Linked DNA regions of Xenopus tropicalis. The protein of the gene in region 1 binds, or shares a complex with, the protein of each later gene. Links are inferred from orthologs where the notes say so. Each region holds a gene or a part of one and is shown in the gene's direction. Other genes may lie near its edges.

Region 1 (3,827 bases):
TATAAAATGCTGGTAACAGCAATTGATTCAGTGAAAATAAAACCACATTTTAATGGCTCAAAAATTCATTCAAAACATAATGCAAAACAAATTCAGATATATACTATACCAAACAGTGACAAGGTGCATCCTAGTGCCTCTCCTAACGCGTTTCGCACAGAGTGCTTCATCAGAGGAGGTGTGGTGTGTTGATGTCACATCCCTTTTATACCCATCCACATCTACCCTATACATTGTACAGGGTATTGCATTGAGCATATATTATAACAATATTTTAAAATATACACATTCCAGGGTTTAAAATTGCCCTGTATTCAGCATAAATTATACAGAGTCACATAAAAACCTCGTAGACATTGCAAATTTTCAAAATTCTTCTTAATCAAAAACTTTTTAACCATTATAATGGATATTATGGCCACTGTGTTAGAACATCACACCCAACATATAAAAATACAGTGAAGTTTTAAAGTGCAAATTAGTGCAAATCGATTAAAACCAGCTAAAAACTTAATACAAAACTATTTAGGAAACTAGTTGCAGGCAATACAATTTTGAGAAGGGATTCCTTCCATCCAGAGCATACTGTAAAGTCAATACCATATGCACAGTTGGTGAGACTTTATAGAAATTTCACTAATTATAAAATATTTAAAGAACAAGCGAGACAAGAGTGTGAGAGGCTCGAAGAGAGAGGATATAATAAAAATGATCTGCAAATAGCGTTACACAAAGTAGGTGACCTAATAGCAAATAGTAACAAAAATAGAGGTAAAAAAAGTAAAATGGAAACCTCCAAAACTACAAAAGTTGAAGAGATCAGGTGCATTCTAGATTTTGGGGTGCAATATAAACAAATAACTAAAGTTATTAAAAGAAACTGGAATATTTTACAGGTGGATCCAGTGTTAAAAAAGCTGAATATGAGACCAGGTGTTATAAGTAGAAAAGCAAAATCGATAGCGGGATTTATAGCCCCAAATAAATTGAAGAGAAATAACGATAGGAAAGTGACATGTTGGTTAGGTAATGTAAAAGGTTTCTTTCCATGCAAAGGTTGTAAAGCCTGTAAATATACTGGTAATAAAAAAACATTTTTCAGTAAAAATAATGATAAAGAATTTAGTATAGATACTTATATATCATGTCAAACACAGTATGTTATCTACTGCCTACAATGTGAATGTGGTTCTATATATGTGGGACGGACTATCAGACAGCTAAGAACAAGGTTAGGAGAACATCTGCGAGGACTGAAAAATAAGGATGATGATAACCCTTTATATAAACATTTTAAATATTCACATGAAGGCAAGCAGATGCAGTTTCAAATGTTTGGCATTGATAAAATAAATGAAAGAAGTGAAGGAAACCTGGTTACTAAGCTGTTGCGGTTAGAATCTAAGTGGATATTTACATTAAACACTGTAATACCAAAAGGGATGAATACAAAATTTGAATTAAAACCATTTTTAGTGTCATCCTGGAAATAATTTGTGTAGGAGAAATATGGGTTGCAACCTATAGCACTAAATAGCACCAAATGATCTTAAAGGCAATTCTTCTGGGTTTGAAAAGTGACTTATGAGTAACTGGTCGGGGTCTGAATATAAGATAAAGCGAATGAACAAAAAGAAAGAGTTTTTAGCTGGTTTTAATCGATTTGCACTAATTTGCACTTTAAAACTTCACTGTATTTTTATATGTTGGGTGTGATGTTCTAACACAGTGGCCATAATATCCATTATAATGGTTAAAAAGTTTTTGATTAAGAAGAATTTTGAAAATTTGCAATGTCTACGAGGTTTTTATGTGACTCTGTATAATTTATGCTGAATACAGGGCACTGTTTAACCCTGGAATGTGTATATTTTAAAATATTGTTATAATATATGCTCAATGCAATACCCTGTACAATGTATAGGGTAGATGTGGATGGGTATAAAAGGGATGTGACATCAACACACCACACCTCCTCTGATGAAGCACTCAGTGCGAAACGCGTTAGGAGAGGCACTAGGATGCACCTTGTCACTGTTTGGTATAGTATATATCTGAATTTGTTTTGCATTATGTTTTGAATGAATTTTTGAGCCATTAAAATGTGGTTTTATTTTCACTGAATCAATTGCTGTTATTTGTATACTATGTCAGGACCTATCAGTGAAATATAAAATGTGATTTCCTTTCCTAAATATATACTGTTGTGATTGATTAGATATAAAATGCTGGGACTGTTATCACTGTATTGTCCAGCATGCCTGGCAGTTAGGGATGCACCAAACCCAGCTTTTTGGGTTCGGATGAACCCCGAATCCATCCCAAAACAATATTTGGTGCAGTGGTTCTCAACTATGAAAATGGTCCCCTAATGGGCTCAAAACCAAAGGAGGTTGCATGAAACTTTATGGTGAATGCTTAGTTGCTATCATAGATATCTTTGGAACTGTAAGAGAATGACCATTTTATATATATGTAATTATATGTATTACAAGGTTGGGCTTTCATTTCACAAGACTGAAGACCCAGAATCTGTTTAGTAGGGGGAGTTTCACTCCGATTTAGGGTTCTTCTCAAACCCTTCTATGAAACCGAAGACATTCTCTAGCCTCATATGTTATTTCTGTGACCCAGTCACCTAAAGTAAATATAAATAAATGGAGGCCACTCACTTCACATACAAAAAAAGCAACATAGGTGTTTGGTGCAAAAAAACCCAAAACTGTATAGGGTACCGAAAGCAGTAATTTTAAATAGGATAAGGGTTTGCACACCCCAACGTTCTCGATTCCCCTAGAGAAAGGCTCTTTGCTGAAACGTTGGGGTAATTCTCATCTTTGGCAAGTGTATCCGCTATCATGCGTGTCTCTTTTTTGCCTATGCACATTTTGTGGTATGTATTATCTTATCATTTTATGTGTTATTTTCTGTAATTTTGTAATTAAAATTGTTTGCTGTTAAATCTTCTGCATATTATAGAAAGGATTTTTTTTTAATACTACCACTGTGCTTGTGTTTTCTGTGTGCAAACCCTTATCCTATTTAAAACCCAGTCACCTGAAGTCCAGGCTAAATTGACTCTCCTTCAACACAGATATTATCATTGGGTTATTTAATGCAGTTTTTATTTACAAAAACATATGGAAAAATCTCCTCTAGTAGCAAAAAGTGACACTTGACCATCTCACCATTGACATTCCTCCCGTTGCAGAAAGAAATACAGAATAACTATCGAAAGACGAAATCAGCAGGACGACTGCAACCTAGGGAAACACCGACAGCTTCGGGAAGATTCCATAAGATCTCATTTTTCTGCGGCATAAAGAATAGAAAACAAACAAAAATCTTTAGGAAGAAGCAACCAAAGACATCATTACGTGTGATGGGGTTCTTGCAGAAGCTATTTTTTAAGGCAGTAGAATCTTATTTCCATTCTCATATTGTTTTCAGAAACTCAGGAATGATCGATTAATTGCATTATGCCATGTGGCCTTTCATCTTGTGAAAAACGGGCACGGTTTGACAAGGTTATTACGATCTGTGCGTAGAAATCATTGGGCGATGTGTGTCGGACAAAGATAGGCACTTTTTTAAAAAAAAAATAATGTTCCTTTTCAACATGTTTGTCCAGAGCTTCATAGGAAAAACAAACCCAAATTGGCACACATAGTTAACACTGAAATTATTTTTTTCGACACTGAAAATTTTTGCAGAAGGAAAGGTTGTTGGAATGCAACCGCGCAATTTTGATTTGATAGTGCGCAACCTTGGCAGGTACTGGCAGCAGTACGGGTTGTATTCACTCCCATACAGTAGACGTTGTGCGG
Region 2 (4,339 bases), on another chromosome or scaffold:
AAAAACAACAGCTTTATCTGTCGGCTCTCCTGCCCTGTGATGTGTCAGCTCGCTCGGGAAATTGAGTGGAACTGACTCTCAGTTCGCACATCAGCTCCGCCATGGATTGTACAAGGCAAGAATCTCCCGCTTTCTACCTGACTTTCCCAGAGGTATTGGAACAAGTGGCGGCACTGAGAATGTAAACAGAGCTGCCAAAGGCATCAAGCAAAGAGCGCAGCAATGTCAGGGAGGGGAGTCTGTGGCTGCAATGGCAAAACCCATGGCTCCTCTACAGCCCCCAAATAAAAGCGCTCAAACACAAAACTAGTCATTTACACCGCGAATGTGATACTGAGCACTGCAGCCAGGTACAGCCCTTCTGGTGCCCAAGTGTTACAGAATAAGTACGAAGCATACTCCCCCATAAGTCACAAAACAGCTTGGTTGGACCTGGTATTGAAATGTATTTTGAAAGAGATGATTCTGAGAAAGTCCAGTTCCAAACAAATGAGCATTAGCTTATGTGTGTATATGTGCATATATATGTATGAATATATGTATACGTATACTTTATGTATATATGGGTTAATTGTAAACATACACACATATATATGGCGTGGGAGTGCCACATAACTGTATACACATGCATATACAGTCATATATAACTATATACACACAGAAAGACACACATAGGTTTATAAATTGCCTAAAAGTGTCAGATAACTATATATACACACACACAGAGGCAAACGTAGGTATCTATTACCTGGTAGTACCAGATAACTATACATACATATATAACTACACACACAAAGACTCACAAAGATATATATATTTCCTGAAAGTGCCAGATAACTATATACACACACAGAGGCACGCATATCTATCATCATCTATTTATATATCTCTCTATCTATCTATATATGTCTCTATCTATATAGCATCTATCTATATATGTCTCTATCTACATAATATCTATCTATATATGTCTCTATATATCTATCTATATATCGCTCTATATATCTATCTATATATGTCTCTATATAATATCTATCTATATATGTCTCTATCTATATAATATTTCTTTCTCTCTCTCTCTATATATATATATGTCTGTATGTGTAATGGGATAAGTTGTTTGGAGCCACAGGAGTGATCCCTAACTGATATAAAATCCTTTAAAACCCATCCAAAAAAAAGTCCTAGAAAGTAAACTAATGACCTGGCTGGGACATGCAATGTATCATGAGAAAATGAGTTAGAGGGTAACCCCAAGCGGTGGGTGCTCTACCTCCTATCTCTAGGGTGACGTCACCAGATGCTTTATAAAATGAATGGGGTGTTGATATCAGTTCACAGTCTTACAGGAGCAGCAGCAGCAGCAGGAGGAGGAGGAGGGGTGACTCGCAGCCAACTCCAGATTTTCTGCTAGTTGTGTTTTTATTACAGTAACACTTGGGGATTTTTGTATGCTGAAAAGGCTAAATCCCAGAGTCAGGATGCATGTGTCTCTCATTCTGGGCTGGGGAATTATGCTGGCCGTGCTGTGTGTCAGGGTGGAAGCGAAACCTGCAGTTCAGCCACACCAGAAGGTAAGTGCTCACCTGGGAGCGAACTTTCTGCATTCTCCTTCTCACTTTCAGCATCTGCCCCTCCTTCCTCTAAACGTCTCCCAGCTACTGTGCAGTCCCTAGGGAATGGGCGCTAGTCCGGCTGTGCGAACCCAGAGACCGGCCACTAGTCCGCCTGTGCAGTCTCCACTAGTCCATCTACTCTGGGCAAAGGGGCAGGTGTACATGAATCAGTTGCAAGGTGAAAATGTAGTACCAGTGCTGGGCACCCAGACATAGGAAGGCTAGAGAGAGGGAGAGAGCGCAGAGACCTGACAAGCGGCAGGGTACAAAACTGTTCAGATTTGGCACTGCCTGTGGATAGGGCGCAGTAGTACGCTGGCTTTGCCCTGTTGTGCATATGCGTATGAATAAGAATGCAGAAGTGCATTCATTTAATTTGACTTGCGCTGCTCTGGCGCATTCGGTGCCAATGATTAAAATAATATAGCTGGGTATGCAGCATTTAACTAAACTGCTAACCAAGTCATCCATGTTGCCATGCTGTTTGCCCTGCTAATGTGTGTTTTGGAGTGAAAGCAGGAGTACATAGTAGGAGTGGAGCCGTTACCGGGCCACTGAGTGAGCTCTGTAGGAGTCAGTGTGGGTACCAGGGGATGTACTGGCACCTAGGTGCATGGCTACTGCTCCGATCTAACTAATACATTCATGGATGGAGAGGCAAGGGCGAACGCTAGGGATAACAGGCAACATCACTGGGGTAACTGTTCCCTATCAGCGTAATTTGATTTATGTTATGATATATAAAAAAAATCACTATTGTGACCTGAGGTAACCTTACCCCAAGGGTGCAATCTATACTGATTAGCTATTTCCAATCTGGCTTCTGCATGAAGTAGTTCTATCTCTTCAGGTGAAGGAATCATTGACTGGCACACATGAAAGTATACAGCTATTCTTGCTCCTGTTTAATTGGGGAACCGGCTACTGAATGGGAGAGTTAGTGACTGAAAAGAGAAATGGTGAGGGATGGAATGGAATCATTTGTAAGTGACAGAATGAGAGAACCGTTCAGGGCTAGAATGGGTGGGAGAAGCAGAATAGAAAGTCAGCCGATGGGTGGGTGATAAAGTGGAGGAGTTTGGCCGATCGGCGAGCCGACCGATTTCAGCAGCTTCCTGCGATATCGGTCGGCTCGCTGACATGCCATACACGCACCGATTATCGTACGAAACGAGGTTTCGTACGATAATATCGGTGCGTGTATGGCCACCTTTAGTGTGTGTGGGTCGCTAGGTAAAAGAGATATTGCGAGTTGGTGACGGGTGAGTGACTTGATGGTTGAGATTATCGAATGCATGGGTGAGGGAATAGGTTAGTGATGGGAGAATGAGTGAAACACGGGTAATGACTTGAGGCATTATTAAGGCCATGGAAGAGTGGATGAATGAATATGCTTGCCAGTAGGTAGGTGAATGGCAGAACAGAGTGAGTTGCTTGGTTCGTGAAAGCATTAGTTAGCAGAGTCGGATAGGGTAAGTGGGTGAAAGTGGGGTCACTAGTGTGTGGATAAGTGAATGAATATTTGGGTGAGGGAGAAGTACTTATGGTGGGAGTTATGGAACACAAGGATAGAGGGTAGGTGAATGGCTGGCACAGTAAGGGGGTGGGAGGTGAATGAATGAATGACAATTTTTGTTTCATGGAGTTCATAGTGGCCCAGAATTAGTACAAAAGGTGTCTGGCATATTTAAAGCTGGGGTAACTCCATGTTACCCACACATCTGCCGGCTATAAAACAGTCCTCTTAAAAATGAATCCACTCTCTCCTTAAAGTGTCTCCTCCTAGACACGGCAAATATAAATATAGTTGTGTCGGAACCTGCCATTAAGGTTCGGGCAGTAGGTGGATAAATGGGTGCAGAATGTCTGTGCAACAGGTGCAGTAGACGCTCACAGTAGTTTGGCAAGGAAGAGGTTAAATCAGCAGGAGCTGCCAATGCAAAATGACATAATGGAATCAGATCAGAGTCCAGGCTTTAGTCAGCGGAATTATCTGGGGTGATATAGCTGCCGCTTATTATTATTGCTCTATTTACCCCTGTCTGAGGGCAAGAGATGTGCAAGACGTGACCCATTCGCTTTCTGTTTGTGCCAGCGGGCGGTGCCCCAGTGCAATCTCAGGGGCATTAGTGAGGGTATTAGCCTCCACTCTCCATTGGACTGCCATATCGGACAGAGGTCTATATAAGCTCAGGTATAGTGAAATAGTGTACGTGGGAAATGTCGCATCCACCTGCCCCCTCAGTACAGACATAGCGTTACCGTTATTCTGCCCTCTGCTAACCTCTCCCTACTGTCTCCCATTTCGCTTTGCAGTCGTTACGAGCTTTGCTTGGGGACGAGCTGGCTGAATATTTGGCCTCTGGGGAGAGAGGGGATAGAAATATCGACCCCAAATTCCGTGCCAGACTCCTGCGCGACTTGAGAGCCGACACCAGGTCGCGGGCAGCTTGGGCGAGGTTACTCAACGAGCACCCCAATACTCGCAAGTACAAGGGGATCAACAAGAAAGCACTCTCTAAGGGCTGCTTTGGACTCAAACTGGACCGTATTGGCGCTATGAGTGGCCTGGGGTGCTAAGACCTGGAGTGCCATCTAGTGGCGGTAAGTTGGTATTTTCCATTTTCTCCTGTGCCAGTAGCGCTACCAGTATTTCATTGTTCCGCCACCTCCGCGCTCTGTGGCTAAAGGCAACACTAACTAATGTACGTGTAAAGGTAACT

The links.
Region 2: the proteins of npr3 (region 1) and nppc are in contact, whole or in part, in a crystal structure (PDB 1JDP), measured with the Homo sapiens proteins. The link is inferred for Xenopus tropicalis from reciprocal best matches to the Homo sapiens genes NPR3 and NPPC. Residues at the interface, in NP_001191304.1 of Homo sapiens: Asn110, Tyr138, Ala141, Pro142, Arg145, Ala161, Gly163, Phe164, His166, Glu170, Tyr171, Tyr204, Lys208, Leu209, Arg211, Tyr214, Phe215, Leu217, Glu218, His221, Glu222, Gln225, Ile233; in NP_077720.1 of Homo sapiens: Gly109, Cys110, Phe111, Gly112, Leu113, Lys114, Leu115, Asp116, Arg117, Ile118, Gly119, Ser120, Met121, Ser122, Gly123, Leu124, Gly125, Cys126.

What each region holds. Positions count from the first base shown.
Region 1 is NC_030677.2:200,603,340-200,607,166, reverse strand, and holds part of npr3 (atrial natriuretic peptide receptor 3), read left to right. Parts: intron 1-3,211; coding exon 3,212-3,323; 3' UTR 3,324-3,827. UniProt on the Homo sapiens protein: Receptor for the natriuretic peptide hormones, binding with similar affinities atrial natriuretic peptide NPPA/ANP, brain natriuretic peptide NPPB/BNP, and C-type natriuretic peptide NPPC/CNP.
Region 2 is NC_030681.2:101,242,068-101,246,406, reverse strand, and holds the start of nppc (C-type natriuretic peptide precursor), read left to right. Parts: upstream 1-1,357; 5' UTR 1,358-1,481; coding exon 1,482-1,574; intron 1,575-3,932; coding exon 3,933-4,196; 3' UTR 4,197-4,220; intron 4,221-4,339.